Linked DNA regions of Tamandua tetradactyla. The main gene of each other region encodes a partner of the protein of the gene in region 3 in a complex. Links are inferred from orthologs where the notes say so. Each region holds a gene or a part of one and is shown on either strand. Other genes may lie near its edges.

Evidence for each region.
Region 1: TRRAP (region 3) and SMARCA4 share a complex: the UniProt entries of both Homo sapiens proteins name them as parts of the BAF53 complex. The link is inferred for Tamandua tetradactyla from reciprocal best matches to the Homo sapiens genes TRRAP and SMARCA4.
Region 2: TRRAP (region 3) and BRD8 share a complex: the UniProt entries of both Homo sapiens proteins name them as parts of the SWR1-like complex. The link is inferred for Tamandua tetradactyla from reciprocal best matches to the Homo sapiens genes TRRAP and BRD8.

The regions. Positions count from the first base shown.
Region 1 is NC_135337.1:90,868,773-90,876,538, forward strand, and holds the start of SMARCA4 (SWI/SNF-related matrix-associated actin-dependent regulator of chromatin subfamily A member 4), read right to left. Parts: upstream 3,020-7,766; 5' UTR 2,912-3,019; intron 2,846-2,911; exon of another isoform or gene 2,729-2,845; intron 2,430-2,728; exon of another isoform or gene 2,305-2,429; intron 1-2,304. UniProt on the Homo sapiens protein: ATPase involved in transcriptional activation and repression of select genes by chromatin remodeling (alteration of DNA-nucleosome topology).
Region 2 is NC_135346.1:17,856,233-17,863,964, forward strand, and holds the start of BRD8 (bromodomain-containing protein 8), read right to left. Parts: upstream 3,020-7,732; 5' UTR 2,721-3,019; coding exon 2,702-2,720; intron 1,762-2,701; coding exon 1,665-1,761; intron 1-1,664. Other genes in the region: kinesin-like protein KIF20A, read left to right, coding at 3,253-3,297, 3,749-3,934, 5,091-5,180, 5,281-5,400, 6,047-6,185, 6,310-6,497, 6,584-6,716, 6,895-7,089 and 3 more. UniProt on the Homo sapiens protein: May act as a coactivator during transcriptional activation by hormone-activated nuclear receptors (NR). Isoform 2 stimulates transcriptional activation by AR/DHTR, ESR1/NR3A1, RXRA/NR2B1 and THRB/ERBA2.
Region 3 is NC_135349.1:6,908,347-6,915,635, reverse strand, and holds the start of TRRAP (transformation/transcription domain-associated protein), read right to left. Parts: upstream 3,019-7,289; 5' UTR 2,920-3,018; intron 2,631-2,919; exon of another isoform or gene 2,408-2,630; intron 2,269-2,407; exon of another isoform or gene 1,984-2,268; intron 1,951-1,983; exon of another isoform or gene 674-1,950; 5' UTR 612-673; coding exon 512-611; intron 402-511; exon of another isoform or gene 205-401; intron 123-204; coding exon 73-122; intron 1-72. UniProt on the Homo sapiens protein: Adapter protein, which is found in various multiprotein chromatin complexes with histone acetyltransferase activity (HAT), which gives a specific tag for epigenetic transcription activation.

The DNA.
Region 1 (7,766 bases), on a different chromosome or scaffold from region 3:
TCGTCCACTCCACCAACCGGGAAGCTGTGGTAGGGTCCCTTCCCGCAAGCTCCAGGAGTCGCCACGCTTGCTTGTCATCTGTCTAGGGTTGAGGTGACCTCTGTGCCAGGGTCGCACTGAGGGCAGAGGCCAAGCACGGCCAGCATGGGTGAGGCTGCACTACCTGCCGTCCTGCCCTCCCCACTGCACAGAGGCACAGAGAGGAGAAGTGGCGAAGCCAGGATTCAAACCTGGTGGTTGACTTCAGAGCCCCCCAGTGATGAAATATCCTTGGACCTCTGCTTCTTCGCTGGTAGAATGTTTTCTCAAGTGGACACTCACTCGACATACCTCATCCCTCCCCCTCTCTCCATGTATAATAAACGGCTAGGTGTTAAGGGGTAGGCCAGGGTTACTCCCCAAGGAGGGGCAGGTGTATGCAAACAATTTGTAAAGAATTATTCCTGTTGTGAGGGTGCTCACCTAAATCAATCTTTTCACCAACAGGAAGAGTTTGGGAACCACGGCACAGCCCTACAGCAGACTCTGCTGATGCTACTCCCCTGCCCCACAACCTCCAACAGCAACATCCCCAGAAAGGATGGACACGAAATGATGACTGAGGCGGAGGGAGGGATATTTATTCCTTTATAAGTGCATGTGCGCTGATTTTAAAGGAATTAAATACACACACATTATATAATCAGCACAGCAAACCTGGGGCTTCTGGGGTGTAGAGTGACTCTATGTTTTTAGTTTCTAAAACAGATGACTGACCACACACACACACACAAGATGAAGTAAACATAAAGACTAACAAACTGAGTGCTTACTACGTGCCAGGCACTCCCCCTGCTATCTCATTCACTCCCCCTCCCCAACAACCGTTTACAGGGTCACAATTTGGGGGATCAACTGTTAAGCGCCTTGCTCGAGGTCAAGCTGGGAATTTGTAGGGTGAATGTGAACCCAGGAAGTCTGAGTCCAGATTGAGCCCTCCTCACCACTACCCCACACTAATCACCAGCCCAAGATGCCCACACACCCTCAATTCCAGAGGGACCACAGTTTGGCAAACACCGGCCTGGAAACTTAAAACACTGAAACCAGCAACTAGCACTCACTGCTTACATCCCGGTCCCAGCACCATGCCAAGCCTGGGCTGCCACTGGGAACCAGGAAGGCGTGGCTCCTTCCAACAGTGCTTGGAGTGGGATGGATGTGTAATTACAAATCGGGGTGACTGCTACACGGGGAAGCAACATGGGCAGCAGACAGGTGCAACGACCCAGACCAGGCAGTCAGGGAAGGTGCCCCTAAAGCTGCATCCCTGCCAGTCAAAACCCAGCCCTGAGCATCTTCCCTGAGTATGTGTGAATGTCATCTCTTCCATGCAGCCTCCCTAAACCCTGGTTCTCCCCTCTCCCCCAGATTCTAGATAGGCTGTTAAATGATTAAACGATAAGCCAAAGTGATTTGTTCCCATACCACCCACATCTATTTAAAGGTCGGCTTCCTCTACAAGACTGGTCTTGAAAGCACCCAACCCCAAACCATCTGGCACCCAGCAGGGACTCAACCAATACTTGCTACACCATGAAAGAGGGGCATCCAACCCCAAACCATGTGGTACCCAGTAGGGACTCAACCACTATTTGCTGAACCATGAAAGAGGGGATTGAACCAGACAAATGACAATAAACAGTGCTTTCCACCCGCCACGAACCATTTTACAGGCTTCCACAACTCCATTTGTAATATTATCCCTATTTCACTAGGGAGAAGACCAGAGACTCAGAGAGATCAAGCTACTTGCCTAAGGTCACACAGCCAGGCGACTGTCAGCGCCAGGAATCACACTCAGTGGAATCCAGTCTGACAATTTACATTGAAAACTTGTTTCAAACGCTTGGGAAGTGGCTCTTGCCACTTTCTACTTTCCCGCAGGATCCACCCTCTAAACAAAAAAAAAAAAAAAGAAAAATCAAGACGGACACCAAAATACTCCCGGAAAGGTTCACGATTTAAAAAGAGCCTAAACGTTGAAAATAAATTGGGAGGGAGGGGGGAAAAAAAGGGTGCCAAACAAAACAATGCTTTCAACAGCAAACATTTCCCTCCGAGCTGCCAGGCACTTGCCGCCGCCACCCCAACTCCCCCACTTCGGGGCAAACGTTTTCAAGTCGCTACCTCCGCGGGACTGGGGGAGTCATTGACCTTTCCTGGAACACCTAGAATGCCGTGATTTTTAAATACATTTTTAGGCCGGCTTTGGGACTACACAGGGGGCTACTGATGCTCGCGTCCCGGCGGCAGCGGGCACACCTGGGTTCTTCCCGGATCGCACTGGGGTCCGACAGGTTAGAACGTAGCCAGAAAAGTCCCGACGCCTGGCTATTGTTGCAGCCGCGAAGACGGGGGATTGGACCCCGGGACGGTAGCGGGAGGCGAGCTTTGTCCAGCGACCCCGGCGGGCGCGCGCACGGGGGGGGTGGACGCGCAGTCTCCACGCGGCCCGGAGTCCCCCGCGCCCGCCCGCGGATGCTGCTGCAGCCACCGCGGCCTCGCTCCGCTATGGCCGGGCCCGCGCGCGCGGCTGCGGGCCAGGGCTTCTTGGCCCTCGGGCGCCGCCGTACTCCGGCCCCGCTCCAGGCGCCAGCGGCCCCCTCCCCCCGCGGCGCCCCGGCTCCATTCAAACCGTCTTCCCCCGCCCCGCGCGGCGCCGCTCCCCGCACCCCGCGTTCCTTACCGGGAGCCGCCGGCGGCGTCGCCTTCCCGGCACCGCCCCCGCCCCTCCGCGCGGGGCCGGGGGCAGAGTGGGCGTCTCGCCTCTCTTCACCAAACAAAGAGGCCGCCGCCGGCGCCGTCACCGAGCAAGGGGAAGCCTCGCGCGCGCGCCCGTCCGCCTCGGCCGCCCCCCCTCCACACACGCCTTCCGCGGTCCCGCTGCGCGCTCACGCGCCGACTCCCCTCCTCCCACCACGGGCGGTCGCTTGAGCTTCCGCCGCCCGCGCCAGCCTCGTGCGCGCGCCCCCGCCCTTCCGCTCCCCGTGCGCGTGCGCGCCCGCGCGAGAGCCGCGGTTGGTGGGCGGGGCCCATGGGTAGCACGCGCAGGGGACGCACCGCCCCTCTCGGGCCGGGCTGGCTCTGCGCCTGCGCCCAAGCAGTCTTCCTCCTCCGCACGCCGCGCGTCCCGACGCCGCCGAGCATGCGCGGAGCGGCCGCCACGGAGGCGGGGGCGGCGGGCGATTGGGGGATGGGATGGGTTGGGATGGGGGCGGCGGCGTGTGGTCCGCGGCGGCCGTCGGGTCTGGGGGTTCAGACGTGGAGACCCGAGGTGGGCCGGGAGGGCGGGACGCAGGCAGGCCGGGGCTGAGAACCGTCTTCATCCCTGGCCCGCGCGGCGAGGCTGGGCAGGCCCTGACCGTGGCCGTCTCCTCTGGGGCCATTCATTAGCTCGGCCAGTATTCATGGGCTGCACCGGGCCCTGCCCTGCGGCCCGGGACGGACAGAGGTCCAGCCGTCGTGGCGCTGACGGTCTAGCAGGGGAGAGACATAAGCCAAATCAAGGAGAATCTATAGCCTGTTCGGAAGACTCACGGAGGGTCGAGGGCTTGGGATGGGGGTGGCCTCGCGGCGAAGACCTTTGAGTAAAGTTAGGAAATCAGGGAGGGAGAGAGCCTGCTCCGAGCGAAGGGTCTGCAAGTAAGGCCCGTCTGTGTTTGTAAAATAGTAGCTCCAGAGCTGCCTCGTTTGGTCTCCCGAGCAGGACAAGCGCCCCCCAAGGTCACGCCCCATAGCCTGTACCGACCCTCCCCTGCTTCCCTCAGGCCGGGACTGGCTTATTTTCCTGGTCTCCGCTGGCTTTGACCCCCTCACGCCTTTCCTCGGTGTGAATCAGGGCCTCCTCTTCCCTTCCTAGCTATTTCTTGGACGCCGCTATATCGCCTGACTCTCTCGTTTAAACCCGTTTGAGTCAACATGTAGTAGTGGCGCACCCCTTCGCCTCACGACAGATACTTAAGAAAATTGTATCGAAACATAGTAGACACAGGCTGCCTGATGAGTTAGAGGACCGCACCTGCATCAGCTCCTGGGCTCTTTCCAAGGCCAAAGTGGCTGGTTTGCAGTGTAGAGCAGCAGGTGACATCTCATGCTGGAGTCAGATGATCTAGGTTTAAAACCTGCCTCCTTAACACAAATTGTGAATGTGGTTAATGCCCCTGAATACGTCCGCTTGGGAGTGGTTGAGATGGGACAGTTTACCTTGTATATGTTTCCAGGATTTAAAAAGAGAAAGAGACAATGACAATTAATTGCAAAACATGAGTATGCACTGGAAACTAATATGAACAGAAGAGAAAAATACTCAAAAGGACGTTACTGGGGCAACTGAAAAAAATTCCGACGTGGGCTATAAACTTAACATCAGCGTTAAATTTCTTGAACGTGATGACTGTACTTAAGGTGATGACATAAGTGAGAGTTCTTGGGAAATATACTTGAAAGTGTTAAGTTTTGGAGTGTGATATATGCAACAGTACTCTCAAATATTTAAAGACGGAATGCGGGAGACCCACATTCAATTCCCGATCCATGCACTTTCCAAAAAACAAACAAGCAAAACAAAAAATTCAACAAATGGTGCTACAATAACGGGATACTCATATGCATGAAATGTGACCCCACCATGCAGCATACAAAACAAAAAAAGGTAGAACAAATGTGGCAAGATGCTAAAAGTAAATCTGGGAACCTGAATGGGGGGTTCATTAGAGTTCTATGCATTGTTTTTTAATTATCCTTGCAACTTTCCTGTAAGCTATTTCACAATAAAAATTTAAAAAAACAAAACCCACCTGCATGTTGTTAGCTGGTGAAGTCAGGCAGGTTTCCTGAAGCGGTATACACCTGGGTTTCTTCCCCCTGGTAGAAGGAGAAGTGGCACCCACTCCAAAGGTTGGTGATGGGGAATCTGGGAGAGCAGGCCCCTATAGCTCTCCCTACCTTAGCTAGTGTTGTTAAGAGTAATGCACAGTAAATGTGTAACCAAGAAATGAGAATTTAAGGAATGAGTATGGTTATCAAATCATTACATGGATACTGCTTTTTGGTATATTGGAGTAGATAGAGGGAAATACCTGAAATCTTTAAACTGTAATCCAGCTGCCTTGATTGCTGGTAATGATTGTTTAACCTTTATGTTGTGCCTCTGTGGTTGTAAAAACCTTGTGACTCACCTCACTTGTACCCATTTATCCAATTTCTCAACTTTAGAGTCTTGCGATTATTAAAGACATCACCTAATGTTTATTAATGAAGGGTCCTGGGTCAGCCCAGAACTAACCCACCGCAAGTCCAGAGTTTTCCTGAAAACTGAGACTGGATCTAACCCCCTAGGCCCACCTGACATGCACAGTACCTTAGACTTTAACTTATGTCACCTGTACCTCATTATAATACTAATAAATCACACCCATTGGGCAGTGCAACAGTGGCTCAGTGGCAGAATTCTCAGCTGCCATGCCAGAGAACCCGGGTTTGATTCCCAGAGCCTGCCCATGCCAAAATAAAAAACAAAAAAACAACAAAAAAACCCCACACCCATCATCATATTAAGACTGCCATTTTCTTACATACGTTCTGTGACTAAGCATGTAATGGATCTGCGCATGCTTAATAATTAGATCACCTCTTATTATATCAGCTGGGATCATTGTGCTCATTATCCTAAAACCTGCCCATCTTTTAACATTGTAAAATGATCAGAATGAGTGCAGTTCGGGGTAACAGGTTTTTGGGCCAATGGGCCATCTGATCTCTTGCTTCGTGCCTAGCAATAAATTTTTTCTTTCTGAAACCCCAGTATCTCAGGAATTGTCATTTGAGTGCTTTGGGCAAAGGAATCCACTGCCTTTGTACGGTAACAAACGAGAGGAAATCGAGGCTTCTGCGGTTGCTGGACTGTTTTCAGTCTAGAGGCTAAGCAATCAGGTTTTTCTGTTCTGCAGGCACTACAGACCCTTTTGGTACCTTACAAAGCTTCAGAGAAAGAAACCATTTACAGATCCATGTCCGGACATCTGACTGTTTGAGTGGGTCATCAGGATAAAAGTGGATTGGGTTTTGAGAGACTGTTTTATACATATATATATAACCTATATTTAGAGATAAGAATGACATCAAACAGGTTGGGGCTAAAGTAATTCAGAACATAGGGGTAAGGAAGACAGTGTCTGTATTTTAGAACCACACATACTCTTTGAAACCAATGGAAGGAAGATTTATTTGGTCTAGAACTGAAATTTTTGGTAGTGCATAATCTAATTCAACCTATCTGCATAGCTCATTTGAACAACTGAAACACAGGAAGCACAGAATAAGAAAGCGGTCTTTTATCCTGTATAGATTACTGTAATGCCTGGAAACATCCTAGAGTATATTAAAGAGATAATCAAAAAGCATTGGCAAAGTCCCCTGAGGGAGGGGAAAAATACCATGGAACTATTAAACCTTACCATCAGGGAATCTCCTGATACTGTGTCAAACTTTAGGGACACCCAAATCAATAGGCCATGCCCTTGATCATGAGGCTTACTCTTGTGAAGCTTATGTAGGTAGCAGAGAAGCTTAGACTACCCATAGGCATGCCTCAGAGTTACTTCTGGAGGACCTCTGTTGTTGCTCGGATGTGGCCTCACTCTCTCTAAGCCCAACTCTGCAAGTGAAATCATTGCCCTCCCCACTACATGGGACATGATATCCAGGGGTGAAAGTCTTCCTGGTGACGTGGGAGATGACTCCCAGGGATGAATCCAAACCTGGCACCGTGGGATCAACAATTCCATCCTGACCAAAAGGGGGGGAAGAAGTGTAACTAATAAAGTGGCAGTGGCAGAGAGAGTTCAGATAGAGTTGAGAGGCTACTCTGGAGGTTGCTCTTATGCAAGCTTCAGGTAGACCTTGCTACCTGTCATAACCTGCCAACCCCCAACCAGGACCATTCCAGTCAATCCTAAAGAATACCTAGGGCAATATATAAGATTCCACAAGGGTTCTAGGCAGTAAAGTAACTTTCCAGAAACCTACAACCTCCAGATGCGTCCCTGGTCCAGATAAATCCTGAAACCTAGCCCAGCCGCTCCAGAACATCAGACAGTTCCATCTCCCTACCCCATATTAGTGAAAAACCCTTCCTATATAAAAAATTTAGAATTGCAATAGCCCAGACAATCCCAAAGAGAGGGGTGGAAAGATCAAAGGTGATGGTGGAATTATACATAGAAGATAGAACTTAACAAATAAATATGAATGCTGAATCATTAAATTGATATCTCTTTTAGTCTCATATTTTATTTATTTATTTATTTTAAACTTTTTTATTAATTAAAAAAATTAACAAACAAAACATTAAGATATTCCATTCTACATATACAATCAGTAATTCTTAATATCATCACATAGTTGCAATTCACCATTTCTTAGACCATTTGCATCGATTTAGAAAAAGAAATATCCAGATAAATTTGCTTATTGGTTTTTCTATTTCTGAAAAGTAAGTTGTTGGGATTTTATTGGAATTGCATTGAATCTGTAAATCAATTTAGGTAGAATTGACATCTTAACTATATTTAGTCTTCCAATCCATGAACACGGTATACCCTTCCATCTATTTAGGTCTTCTGTGATTTCTTTTAACAGTTTCTTGTAGTTTTCTTTGTATAGGTCTTTTGTCTCTTTAGTTAAATTTATTCTGAAGTATTTTATTCTTTTAGTTGCAATTGTAA
Region 2 (7,732 bases), on a different chromosome or scaffold from region 3:
CATGCTCATACTGGTTTTCTCATCTATTGAAATAACTATCTGACTAGCAGTTATACGTACCTTTCATAAAATGAGAAAACACACAAGGAAATAAATACAATTTATTTTAAACAGAAAAATTTTGAGAAGTCTAGTATCTTACAAGATTCTTAAAATTGAAAATGTGCATATCTCAGATCTAGCGATGTCACTTCTAGGAACTTATCCTATAGAAATACTGATACAAAGAGAAAACTGTACCCCTAAATGCCCGTAGAAGACAAATGTAAAACAAATTATGGTATATCCAATGGAATACTACTGAGTTTTTAAAAAGAATAAGATCATATCTAGTGTATTGACAGAAAAATACCCACATACTGTCTTAAATGAAATATCAAGCTAAAAACTATGTATATATGATGTTCCTATTCTTATTCAAAAAAAAATTTAAACATGTCCACAAACCACACATAGAAAAATTTATGAAAGGACATATCAAACTTAATGGAGACTACTCTAGAGTAAGAAGGGGAGGATATGGTGAAATCAGAATATTCATTCATTGCTGGTACATTTGCAAATCATCTATGTGATAAGAGATTTGTATCTGAAATATATAAAGAACTCTTACAACTCAAAAATAAAAAGATAAATAACTAAGAAATGGGCAAAGCAGAGTACACAAGTGCTTAAGTAGTAAAATGCTTGCCTTCCATTCAGGGGACCCAGGTTCGATTCCCAGACCTTGCACACCCCCACACCCCCCAAAAAAGGGCAGAGGATCGGAATAGGTATTTCTCCAAAGAAGATGTACAAATGGCCACTAAGCAAATGAAAAAATGCTCAATACCATTAATCATCAGGGAAATGCAAATCGAAACCAAATGAGATACCATTTCACACCCACTAGGATAGTTAAAAACAAAAGGACAAAAATAAGTCTTGGTGAAGATGTGGTAAAAGTGGAATACTCATTCATGCTAGTGGGAATGTAAAACTGTGGTTGCTTTGGAAAACAGTTTGGCAGTTCTTTCAAACTTAAATACAGAGTTACCATATGACCCAGGAATTTCACTCCTAATATACCCAAAAGAATTTAAAGCACAAGTTCACACAAAAACAAGAAAGATTGATGGCAACATCATTCATAATAGCTAAAAGGTGGGAACAATCCAAATTTCTACCAACTTATGAGCATACAAAATGTGGCTATCTATACATGGAATATACTTTTCAGCCACATAAAGGAATGAAGTACTGATACATGCTATATTATAAATGAAATTTGAAAACATTATCCTATGTGAAATAAGCCAGTCACAGAAAACCAACATGTCCAGAACAGGCAGATCAAGAGAGACGGAAAGTAGACTAGCTGTTGCCTAGGGATGGGAGTGGGGTGGAGGAAGTTATGTAGCTTGACTGTTAAGTGCTTCTCTCTGGGGTAATGAAAATATTCCAAGATTAGATTATGGTGATGGTTGCACAACTCTATGAATATACTTAAAACCAATGAGTTGTATTATTTATGGTGATTTACATCTCAATAACTCTGTTTAAAAAAAAAGATGCTTAAAGATTAATATATAGATTAATTAAATATAATTCATTAACTATATCCAACAGCAGGAAAAAATACCCAGCAGTTCTAAGACCCAAGACAGACATCATGGATAACGTACCAATTCTGATCTCCACTTCTCATTACAGAAGATGCCAAACACAGCTTTTCCCGGATGGACCATGGCTCTGTGGGGCCAGAACTCAACAGTTTGTGTTCTGAAAGTAGAGAAAGAGTATACAGATAACCAGAGACACGAGTTTTAAGCACCAGAGAACTAAAAGCCTAATACAAAACACCCAACTTGTTAGCACAAAGTAGGCTCTTATAGCACCAAATCTGGATTTTCGCCGTTAAAGCGAAATAGCTGTGTATCACGGTGCGGGGTGCGGGTGGGGGGTACTTATTCTTTGCATGAGAATTGCACGGTGTGTGGTATATGGGAGAACATTTGATTTCCTCAAAACCCAAGGCTTCAAGCTCCGCTTTAATAAAAGATAGGAAATGACGTATTAAGCCGAAAAAGTTTTCTCGAAAGCCCCAATTTTAAGAATACTTTCTCTAATTTAAAAATACAGGTTTATTTCCCAGGATTCCGAGCGGCTAGCTCCGCCTGCTGCCCCGCCTCCTTCTTAGCATAAAACTGTTTACTAGTCTCATTACCCCGCCCCCAACTGTCGGGCCTAAAAGGCCTTCTCTACCTATTAAACATAAGGAAAATAATTGAGATGTACGAAACTCAATTTTCCCGGTGGCAGAAAAAGCTCACGATTAAAAGACCCCATTTCCACTGCCTCACAAACACATTCGCTAGAAACTGAACTGATGTTTGAGACACCAGCCCCTCCGTATGATGGCCGAATCTGCGTCTGCACGCCCAAGTTTCTAGAGCGCCTTTATGCCTTCCTCCGCGGAGCTCCCTACATACAGGGATTCGCTAAATACTTCCCTTACGCCTCCGCTCCCTCCCTGAGACACAGGACCCTATACTTCGGGCCCCCAACCGTTGGCCTTTACTACGCCGTCAAGCGCAGGTCTCTGGACACCCTGGGCTCTCAGCCAAACCACCCCAACCACTCCCTAAATGTTAGACTGAAATCTGGTGCCTAGCCTCGGCTCTACAATGGCCTTCCGCTCAAAAGTAGCGCAGACACTCACTGCCCGTTCCTGCCGCCATCTTGGCCCCGAAGTCTACTATCCCGGAAGAGTGTGAGTCAGGTAGGACCGGATCCCGGAGAACTCTGGGAAATCGAGTACGGGAGTTTGTTCGCGATGACTCCTGGGAAATGTAGGTTTGTTTGTTTGTTTGTTTTTCCGACCCCCCCCCACCTCCCCCAACGGAGTACGCAAGTTAAAGTAGCGTTGCTAAGGAAGGACAGGGGATGGCAACTGAAGCCTCAGGCTTCTTAGGAAATGAAATGTCTAGGGGTTACGCTAAAGGGTTAAGCCGGACGAATCCGAAGTGACTCGATTCCAAATTTCCGACAGTTGGTAACCCGGACCCACGTGAGAGTGGAGAGGTCAAATAGAAGCAGAAGTCCCCTATTTCGCCCGCCTCCCTTCTTTGCGCTGATTGGTAGCTGCAGGCTCTTTTGTCTGATTGGCCGAGTGAACGGAGCGCGTAATTTAAAACAATGTATCAGTAACAAAGCTGCGCCTCGTGGGCGGAGTTGTGCTGCGGACCGCTAAGGTCCAGGATCCGCAGCTGAATGAGTGAGTCGGTTCCGGAGCGGGAACGAGTGTCGCGGCTTCAGGTAAGTGTGCAGCTCGACTGGAGCCCGGGTTATCAGCTCTTGATTTCGCAGAACGGGCTTTCAGAAGGGGGCACCGCCACCATCTCTTTTTTTCTTAATACCTTTGCCCTCGTGGTGGACTTGGGAAGAGGTTGGAAAAGGAGCCTGGGGATCCTGACCTTTGACTCTGCCCGTGCCCCATAGTACGGAAAGGCGAGGTACCCTACTGGCCTTCTAGTTTTGGAGGTGTATCTCTTTTCTTTCCTATTCAAGGTCGGAAATGCCTCTCCAGAAAGGTTTCAAAGATTAACTCCTCCTCTCAACCCCTTCCCCGTATTTGGAGGGAAAAGGGAATAGGAATTCAGGCAGGCAAACCAGGTTTCCAAGGGTAAGGGGATTGCTTCTTACCTAGAATTTGCAACCCCTTCTGTCCTTAAAGTTTTCCTCCCTACCCACTCTTGTCTCTTTTCAGACCAAAGCTGTCCCTGCCGACATGTCACAAGGGATCCTTTCTCCACCAGCCGGCTTATTGTCGGATGAGGAACTCGCAGTTTCCCCTATGTTTGAGTCTACAGCTGCAGATTTAGGGTCTGTGATACGCAAAGACCTACTGTCAGACTGCTCTGTCATCTCCACTTCCCTGGAGAACAAGCAACAGGTAACAGAGTTGGGGCGTGGCTTGGGGTAAGAAAGTGATATCTCCACCCTACTAGTTGTCTATACAGGGTGTTAGGTCAAAGGCAAGCAAAACTGAGATTCTGAGAGATCGGTTCAAAGTGAAGGGTAATGACCAGTCAAAAATGTAGAGTTGGGTTTCAATAAGAAGAATTAGTATTAGCATTGCATTAATAAAATACCATCATGTCCCTCCCAGTCCTGTTAAATAATTTGCAAAAGGTCATACTGCCATTAAGTAGGTGAAATGTACACTCAGGTTTTAATAATATCAACCATCATTACGATTATTGAGACTTTCTTTTTGTTAGGCCATGATTTCTCAGCTGCAGCATTATTGACATCGGGGGCTGGATAATTCTTTATTGTGGGGGACTGTCTCGGAAATTATAAGATGTTTAGCAGCTTTCCAGGCCTCAACCCCCTGGATGCCAGTAGTACTAACCAACTGGTGACCCAAAAAAGTCAGACATTGCTAAATGTCCCTGGGAGCTTGGGGAGGGGTAGGGGGAACGTTTGCCCTGCTAGAGAACCACTGTACTAGACAGGCCCTATGTTAAACACTGAATCTACATTGTCACATCTTGTCTTCAAAAGTCTTCTTTCTCATAAAGGGCAGGAGCTTTGATGATAACCCTCACTATGAACTACTAGAGCCTCTTAAATTCCTGAGCCATGATAGGCACTAAATATCTGTAGAATGAATGAGGTGGGTGCTATTATTAACCTCATTCTACAGATGAAAAAAACTGAGGCAGAGAGAATTTAAAGAATCTGTTTAAGGTCTCATAGTTATTAAATGATGGGATTAGGACTCAAATTCAGGTGTGTCTGCCTTTATAGTGCTTAACTACTGTGCTTTGCCCTAATATCACATTCTGACTTTCATACCAGTCAACTAATTCTGAGATAATCAGTATGGCAATGAACAGTGGCAGGATACTGATGAGATAGGGAAGAGTGACAGAGTAGTGAAAAAGTCCATATGAGTTGGGATGATTGTGAAAGCAAAGAGTACCTGCAGAGACATTTGGGGTAGAAGGGGGTAGAATCACTAGCATGATTCCTAAGAACGGTGCTATGTTTGCCTATCTGCTCAGATGATTAATCTGTTTTTTTGGGTTGAAATTCTGCCACAGGTTCCATCTGAGGATAGTACCGAGAAAGTGAAAGTATACCTGAGGATCAGGCCCTTGTTACCTTCAGAATTGGAACGACAGGAAGATCAGGTGAGTATCTGAGGAGGAAGGACTCAAGATGGAATGATGTAATATAGAAGTAGTTCCCAGGAATGCTTCCTTTTGTGACAACTGTTTTCCCCACCCACAGAGCTGTGTCCGCATTGAGAATGGAGAGACTCTTGTTCTACAAGCACCTAAGGACTCTTTTGCCTTGAAAAGCAATGAGCGAGGAATTGGCCAAGCCACCCACAGGTTCACCTTTTCCCAGGTATGAAGGTTCTGGGCTGTGAACAAAGAACCAGCATCTAGGGACAATTTCATTTCCTCTCTAGAAAGAACACTTCTTTACTTGACTGTGAGATCTTAAGTTGTGTGTGTGACTCTCTGTATGTTCATGTGTATATAGCCATGCATGAGTTTGTATATGTACCTATATATATACACGCATATAAATACACACATGTACACATCTACAGTTTGGGGAGGGGTACTGTTATGTGCTAGTACTGTCTGAAGTACTTTATGTGCATTAATTCACGACTCTATTGTTGTGATTATTATTGTTGTTAATCCTATTTTCCCCGCAAGGATACTGTGGCTCAATGAAGTAACATATATGGTACAGTAGGACTTGGATCCAGAGCCATCCATCCCTAAAGTTCATTGTGAACCATTATTCTGCCTCATTGAGTGTGTAGCATTCCAGAAGAATTTGTTGATTTGGATGAAGGATGGACTAGCAGAGAAGTGGTTGGATCGTTAGTATTTAGGGGCAAGCTTGTAGCACTGTAGGAAGAGGCTGTTTGAAGTTGTCTCCAGAGCCAATCACCCAAGAATGGAGGAATAAATCTGCACAGGGGGAGAATGGGTGATGAAGGGTGGACATACCACTGACAAATTGGCTTTGTCTCTAGATCTTTGGACCAGAAGTGGGACAGGCATCCTTCTTCAACCTAACTGTGAAGGAGATGGTAAAGGATGTACTCAAAGGGCAGAACTGGCTCATCTACACATATGGAGTCACCAACTCAGGGAAAACCCACACAATTCAAGGTAAGTAGAAAAGCCTAAAAGGGTTGCTAGCTGGCCTATGAGGATGTTATCTTTGCCTTTTAATGTTCTGAGTTGGGGGGAGAAAGGTAGCTGCCTCAGTTGTCCATCTCTCATATACTTCCAGGTACCATCAAGGATGGTGGGATCCTGCCCCGGTCCCTGGCTCTGATCTTCAATAGCCTCCAAGGACAATTTCATCCAATACCTGATCTGAAACCCTTGCTTTCCAATGAAGTAATATGGCTAGATAGCAAGCAGATCAGGCAGGAAGAAATGAAGAAGCTGGCCCTGCTAAATGGAGGCTTACAAGAGGTGAGGTGTTAGTGTTCATGGAGGCAAGGGTGAGGGTACATATCTTTGGAAAATTTTGGACTTATCTCTTCTCTGGGCCCCTCCAGGAGGAGCTGTCCACTTCCCTGAAGCGAAGCGTTTATATTGAAAGTCTGCAGATGGGTACCAGCACCAGCTTTGACAGTGGCATTGCTGGGCTCTCCTCTACCAGTCAGTTTACCAGCAGTAGCCAGCTAGATGGTATGTACCATAATTGGTCTCTTTGCCAAGTAACAGTAGAAACTTAGTCTCTGCCCCAACAGTTGCCAGGGTTCAGACCATAGGTTACAACCTGAGTTCTGCCTTCCAAGGCCCCTGCAGGCCAAAAGGGAGATGGACTGCTCTAGAATTAATGCCCTGTACATTGCTCCTTCCCCAGAAACAAGTGACCGATGGGCACAACCAGACACAGCCCCAGTAAGTGTCCCAGCACACATTCGCTTCTCCATCTGGATCTCCTTCTTTGAAATCTACAATGAGATGATCTATGACCTGTTAGAACCACCTAGCCAGCAGCGCAAGAGGCAGACTCTGCGGCTGTGCGAAGATCAGAATGGCAATCCCTATGTGAAAGGTATGGGAAGACGTAGGAAATGTCATGAACACTGGAGGGGGTTTGGGGGAGAAACTAGGAAAAGAGTTGATTGAGTGTACCCATCTTATGCCCTTCTCTCCTTTGGCCTAAAGACCTCAATTGGATTCATGTTCAGGATGCTGAGGAGGCGTGGAAACTCCTGAAAGTGGGTCGTAAGAACCAGAGCTTTGCCAGCACCCACCTGAACCAGAACTCCAGTCGCAGGTAAAAGTCAACCTTTACTGTATTCCAGTAAACACAAGTCCTCTGCCCAGTCATGGAAGGTATACAATGACATTTTTTTCCCTTAACTTTTAGTCACAGCATCTTCTCAATCCGGATCCTACACCTTCAGGGGGAAGGGGATATAGTCCCCAAGATCAGCGAGTAAGTTTGTCTAGAAATTTGGGTTTCTAGATCCTAAATGGTAATATGTGGGAGGTCCTCAGAGGAATTACTTGTGTTAGATCCTATGTTCTCCTCCCTTGGGCACAGACATTCTTGGTAGGCTCTCCCCTCTTTAGAACTATAGAGGACTAGAAGACTCATAACATGTGGAGTCCTTAAATCAGATCCTGTCCATCATTCTAGGCTATCACTCTGTGATTTGGCTGGCTCAGAGCGCTGCAAAGATCAGAAGAGT
Region 3 (7,289 bases):
AAAACAGCGGCAAAAGGAAAGTACATATATGTGGATATTTATAACAGAAAATAAAAAATATAAAGTATGTACCTCAAAATTTTCACTAACTTCTTGCATCATCTTTAACTTCGTTTCATCAGCTGTAAATGTCAAAACAAATCATTAGTAACTGAAATTAAGTTAAGGATGTTCCTAAAATTACTTAAGTTTTATAATTTAAGAGAAACAATCAGATCTTATCAGTTTGACCATCACAGCCCAACAGAAGGCACATAACTAGTTGCCTACAGTCAGTCACATACACTCGTACACCAGACACATGCCCAGATGAGCATACAAATACATACACACACATGCACGCACAAACACACGTGCCTCTTTGGGGCTCCAGCCAGTTAAGCTCATCACTTTGCTTCTCCACAAGACCTAAAGAAAGTGTAAATTAGGATATTATTTATTTCAGTGTGCACATCATTTGAACTGAGGACGAATAAATGCATTTCCTACGTGACGAAAAGCATCAACTCACGTGTATTTACATCAGTGAGAGCTGCCACAAACTGAAGATATTTTTTCATCAGAGTGGTTTGGTCAACCACCGTGGCCCCTTGTGTTGCAACAAACGCCATTTTTCTTTTGTGCTAGTCTGTTTCTTAAGAGAATGGTTTTAGGTCCATGAGTTCATACCAGCCTATGAAAAGAAGCATTTAGTTAGCCAACTTATCAAGGCACAGGTTCAGAATCTGTGAAAAGCTGATCTAAATGCCTATGCTCATCTAAATTATTTTTGTGTTAATCAAGGATATGACACTATTTCCTCTGTTTTTTTTAAATAAAATTTATCTAGATCCATTTTGTCTACTAAATGTATCTAAACATAATGTTTAAACACATTTGTTTTTTCTCCCCTACCCTCGTCTTTCTTACCCTAAGCCAGAGGTTAGCAAACTGTTTTTGTAAAGAACCAGATAGAAAATATCTTAGGCTTTGCAGCCATGAAGTTTCTGTTGCAACAACTCAGCTCTGCTGTTATAGCCAGAAAGCAGCTACAGACAACAGCATGTAAACAAATGTGCGACTATGTTCCAGTAAGACTTTATTTATACATGCTAAATTTGAATTTCATAATTTTCATGTATCCTGAAACATCATTATGCTTTGGATTTTTTTCTTAGCCATTTAATATCGTAAAAGCCATTCCTTAGTTCAAGGACAGTATGAAAACAAGAGTATAAAAACAGAGATCGGGCTGGAGTTGGCCTGCTGACGAGTTTGCCAACCCCTATCCTAGGCAATCTGGTTCTCAAACTTCAGTGTGCATTAAAACCAACAGGTGACAAAGGTGGATTCCCAAGCACCACCCAGAGAGGCTGTGTGCCCCAGTGAAGGGTACAGGAAGCTGTAAATTTTTGTTTGCAGCTGTCACAGATTAGGCACTCAATTGAAAAAAAAAACCGAACTCTTCGAATGAATGAATAAAAAATGCTTCAAAAAAATGAATAGAAAACAGACTGTTGACACCACTTTGAAAATCGCTGCTCCCAGGTGGACACACCTGAATGAATGAGATTTGTTTTTTATTTTAAGAGCTGTGGCCAAAATGTCTAGAGAACCTGGTGAAATTGTTCTTTCACCCATCCTCCCTGCATATATAAATGCCTGATTTTACTTTGCATTAAGAGGTGGTTTCACAGCTTAGCTTTCGTCTTTCTTCAACAGACAGAACAATAATGTGTCTGCAGGAGGACATGCTCCCCTGCAGTTCAAACCAAAGAGTCCCTTCTGGTCATTTCTCAGACAAAAGAGGACCGCCGGTAGCTGTCCTAGCATTTGTCCACTATCTCAGGACAAGAAGAGTCACTAACGAAACTAAGACCAGGATTCTGTCAGCCCTGCTGAGGGTCCTGGCAATTGCTTGCCTCTTTCAAGTCACAATCTCTCCTCCAATTACCTAAGACATCCCCCTCCCCCACCGGCATCTCCACAACGAGAGTCCCAAACCTCAGAGTCAAGGCCTCTTCCTGCCTAAGAAACCCCCTGCTCCTGCCCAGGCCTGCCCAAACTCGTCCAAGCCTCGGAGCCCGTTTTCAAGTCCTCGCCGGCCCGCAGAGTTCAGAGGCGTCAAGTCTTCCACTCCTCGGGGTGCCGCGACGCGAGGTCCCGCCTTCCGCTGGGCCCCAGGAGTCTGAGGAGAGGAGACCGCCCATGCCAACTCTCTCCCAGAGCAGCTCCAGGACTCCGGAGTCCGAGGGGCCGGGCCTCGGTTCCGCCCAGCCCCCGCGCCAGGCCCAGGTCAGAAGCCAGGGGGCGGCGTCGCGCCCGGGTAACCCGTCGCCCGCACCCTGCAGACCCCCAAAGCCCGCCCGGCCGCGCCGAGCCTGAGGCGGCGCCGCCGGGCCAGAGGGGGCGCTGTGGTAGCCGCTACCTTCGCTCTCCACACCGGATCCGGAGAGTCAGGTACCTGCGTGGAGGCCGGGTTGGGGGGGAGCGCCAGGCTGGCCCGGAGAGGGGGCGCCGTCGGGGGAGGGGGCCCTTGTCCCTCGCCCGCTTCCTCCGGTCCCAAACGGCCCTCCGGTTCCCTCCTTTTGTCACCGTCTCCCCGCCGCCACTCCACCCCGACACTCGGCGACCGCCTCCCAGGCCGTGCTACGGCGAGCGCAGAGGGCCAATTTCCGCGCCCGCTAGCCCTCCGCATCCGCTTCGCCCCATCTGGGCCCGGCAGCGAGCGGAGGTTTCAAGGCTGCCGCTATGCCCCGCCGTCCGGACCGGGCTCCGAGGGAAGGCCGGGGGAGCCCGGGGCGGTCGGAGCCTCCTTCTATCCCTTCCCGGAGCTGCCGTGCCGCGGAAACCTCCCCACTCCTGGGCCGGCCCCGTGAAGCCGCCGCGCGCACTTCCTGGGGCCGATTATCCGTCCCCGCTGAGGGCGCTCGCCCTCACCTCGACCTCGGCCGCCGGCCTCCTGCAGCCCCGGGCCCGCGACCCCCAGCTAAGCCAGCCGGGCCGCCGCCGTCGCCGCTCCGCCGCGCGCAGTCCCGCCCCCGCTTAAAGCAGCAGCACCCGCCGACTGGGAACTAGGTCCCGCCGCCCCCGCCCCTAAGTGGGTGCGGCCTGGGCGGGAGTGGGGAGGGGCATCCACGGCCAGGGTGGGCACGGGTGGGCCCGCCCTGGTCTTTAAAGCCCTGTTTGCAGAGGGTGGGGTTGCCGACTCGGCTGCCCCCCGAGGCAACTGCCGAGTTTCCCTGGGCAGCTCCCGCCCCTTAGTCTCTCCGCAGGACCCGTGCCGGGGGAAGAGAGGGAGGCTCGGGGGCTGCTGCTGGGCGGGAGGCACCTGAGGGGCTCCCTGTGCAGGCGGCGGTCGGGCCCAGGTCGGGAAGCGTGGCGGGCAAGGCTGGGGTTTTACCCCCGGGCTTCCTTTCTGTGACCCTGGGCTCCTCCTTCGACCGCCAGAGGGAGAGGAGGGTCTTTGGGAAGGCTTAGGCTGGAGACCACCCGAGACTTCGCATGTCTAGGAAAGCCCCGGAGTTCTGCCCGGAGGTGGCCGACTCTGGCCCGCCTTCTGCCCGCGGGCAGATGCCGAGGCCTCCCGCTGCGCTCCACGGAGGGCAAAACCCGGAGGAGTCAAAGCTTCCGGCCAGGCCAAAACTACGTGGAGGCCCTGGGGGCAGTGAGGCAGAACAACTTGATGCCCAGGCAAGGGCACTCAAAATACAAACTTCTTAAAGGTTCGTGAGTTTTCCTGCCTTGAGCCCCAAAGCTGGGTATCAGGACGTGGGCGTGCCGTCGTGCCTCACCTACATGTTCCATCCATGGGAGTGGGCCTGGTCATGGATGGTTACCATGTCAGAGGGACAAAGCCAGAAAGTGATCACCTTAACTCCAGTACCTCCAAGACCTCGCTCCACCTCCTGCCCCATCCTCTAACCCCTATCCTCACACCCACCAAAATCTTCAGCTTCCCGAATAGATACAGTTTGCCCATTGCAATAAATAGAGCTTGCAATACCTGCTGATTTCCTAGAAGTTGCCCTGTTCTGGAACATGCCCCTTTCTTGTTTAATGTTGCCACACAAGAGGAGCTTCAGCTGGAGTGTTGGGATTGTTTTTAGCATCAATTAATCGTCTGCCCTAGGAAAAGTAAAAGGAGTCAGCACACCCCTACCGCCGTGGAAGAAGTTCCCTGTTTGTGAGCAAAATCTTCTATGCCTCATTCCCCACCAAAAAAGTCTGAAGTCTGAAGTTGGGGATTGTTGAAAATCTGAGGACCAAAATCGGTGTGCTACTTCATTTTGCTAGGAGAGCAGACGTAAAACAAAACAAAAACTGCAATAGGCAAAATCTTTGCTTAAGTTTTGAGTTAATTGCACATGATAAAAACACAAATTAAGCCTAGCTTAGAGCAAGCAGGCACCCTGGCTTTGGTGAAGGCCCTACACTTCTTATGACCTGAGCGTCTATCCAAGTACTTGCCACACTGTTTTGATTTTTATTTGTTTATTTTTAATTGTAAAATATATATACATTAACATAAAACTCATTTTAACCATTTTAAGTGGACAGTTCTTTGACATAAGTACGATGCAAATACTGCTTTCACCATTATCTATTTCCAGACAATATTTCCATCATCCTAAACCAAAATTCATATTTGTTTCACAATAACTCCCCATTCCCCTCTTCCACCACCCTGGTAACCACTATTCTGCTCTCTGTCTCTATAACTTGCTTCTAATATTTCATAAGGAGAAAGCATATAATATTTATCCTTTTGTGTCTGACTTATTTCACTCCACACAATGTCTTCAAGATTCATACATGATGTAGCATGTCCCAGCACTTCACTTCTTTTTACGGTTGAATAATATTCCGTTGTATGGATAGACCACATTTTGTTTATTCATTCATATGTTGATGGACACTTGGGTTGCTATGAACAGTGCTTCAGGGAACTTTGGGTGTACAATGATCTGTTCAAGCCCCTGCATTCAATTCTTTGGGGTACACACCTAGAGTGGAATTATAGGGTCATGTGATACTTCTATGTTTAATTTTCTGAGAAACTGCCTATTCTAGTTTGCTAGCTGTTGGAATGCAATATACCAGAAACGGAATGGCTTTTCCAAAGGGGGAATTTAATGAGTTGCTAGGTTACAGTTCCAAAGCCAAGAAAATGTCCCAATTAAAACAGGTCTATAGATATGTCCAATCAAAGGCCAAGGGAACCAAGGGAAAGATACCTTGGTTCAAGAAGGCTGATGAAGTTCAGAGTTTCTCAAGTGAGAAGGCACATGGCGAATACAGTCAGGGCTTCTCTCTCAGCTGGAAGGGCACATGGTGAACATGGCGTCGTCATCTGCTAGTTTTCTCTCCTGGCTTCTGGTTTCATGAAGTTCCCCGGGAGGCGTTTTCCTTCTTCATCTCCAGAGGTTGCTGGCTCGTGGACTCTCTGCACCTCATGACTACATTGTTCTGCTCTCTCCGAATCTCTCATTCTCCAAAATGTTTCCTCTTTTATAGGACTCCAATAAACCAATCAAGACCCACCCAAATGGGTGGAGACATGTCCCTTAATCCAGTTTAACAACCACTCTTGACTAAATCACATCATCCAGGGAGATGATCTGATTACAGTTTCAAACATACTTTGAATAGAAATTATTCTACCTTTATGAAATGATATTTTGATTAAAACATGGCTTTCCTAGGGGGTATACTTCCTTTCAAACCAGCACACTGCCAAACTCTTTTCCACAGTGGCTGCACCACTTTACATTGCCACCAATAATGTACAGGGTTTCTCTTTCTCTGCATCCTTGCCAGCATTTGTTTTTTTAATTCCTTCATTTTTTAAAATTATAGCCATACTAGTGGCTATAATTATAGTTTTTGTGTGTTAGTTTTTTAGAAAAAGAAATAAAAAGACAACAGAAAAAGAAATAAAACGATAACAGAAAAAAAAGATTATACATACCATACCCCTTACCCCTCCCTTTCATTTATCACTAGCATTTCAAACTAAATTTATTTTAACATTTGTTCCCCCTATTATTTATTTTTATTCTATATGTTCTACTCGTCTGTTGATATGGTAGATAAAAGGAGCATCAGACACAAGGTTTTCACATTCACAGAGTCTCATTGTGAAAGCTATATCATTGTTCAATCATCATCAAGAAACATGGCTACTGGAACACAGCTCAACATTTACAGGCAGTTCCCTCCAGCCTCTCCACTACATCTTGAACAACAAGGTGATATCTACTTAATGCGTTACAGTTTTTAATTGGCATTTCTCTATTGACTAATGATATTGAGTATCTTTTCATAATCTTTTTGGCCATTTCAATGTCATATTTGGAGAAATGTCTGTTCAAATCCTTGGCCCATTTTTTAATTGGGTTATCGCTTTGTTGTTGAGTTGTAGCTGTTTTTATATATTCTGAATATTAATCCCTTATCAGGTATGTGGTTTCCAAGTATTTTCTCCCATCCCATAGATTGTCTTTTCACTTTCTTGCTAATGCCCTTTGATGCACAAAAGTTTTTTTAATTTTGATGAAGTCCCATTTTATCTATTTTTGTTGTTGCTTGTGCTTTTGGTTAAAAATCTAAAAATCTATTGCCTACTACAAGGTCCTGAAGATATTTCCCTATGTTTTCCTCTGTGTATTGTATAGTATTCTTATATTTAGGTCTTTGATCCATTTTGAATTAATTTTTATAAATGGTGAGAGATAGGGGTCCATATTCATTCTTTTGCATGAGCATTTCCAGCTGTCCCATCACTGCTCAATGAAGGGCCTGTTCTTTGCCCCATTGAATGGACTTGGCACCCTTGTCAAAAATCAACTGGCCATAAATGTGTGGATTTAACTCTGAACTCTTGATTCTATTCCATTGGTCTATAAATCTATTCTTATGCCAGTACCACACTGTTTTAATTACCATAACTTTGTAGTAAGTTTTGAAATGAGGAAATGTGTGAGTCCTCTAACTTTGTTCTTTTTCAAGATTGTCTTGGCTATTCAGGGCCTCAGAGATTGGACTTTCTGGAGGCTGGACCTGCAAAGAGGTCCCCACCCCACCCCCACTGTGATAAATGAACAAACTGGCATCTTATCCTCCCTCTAGGTTTCTTGTGAGCTTGGACAGGGTGACCCAGTGTCCCGATGTCTGACAATTCCAGCTGCCTTGATACAGTCAACAAAGGGAGCACTTTGAACTCAGTTTTGCCCACTCCAAGCTTTTTGGGGATCACTGTTATCTACCCAGTGGTCCCCACCTCCCTTAGTTACATTGCTGTACAGAAC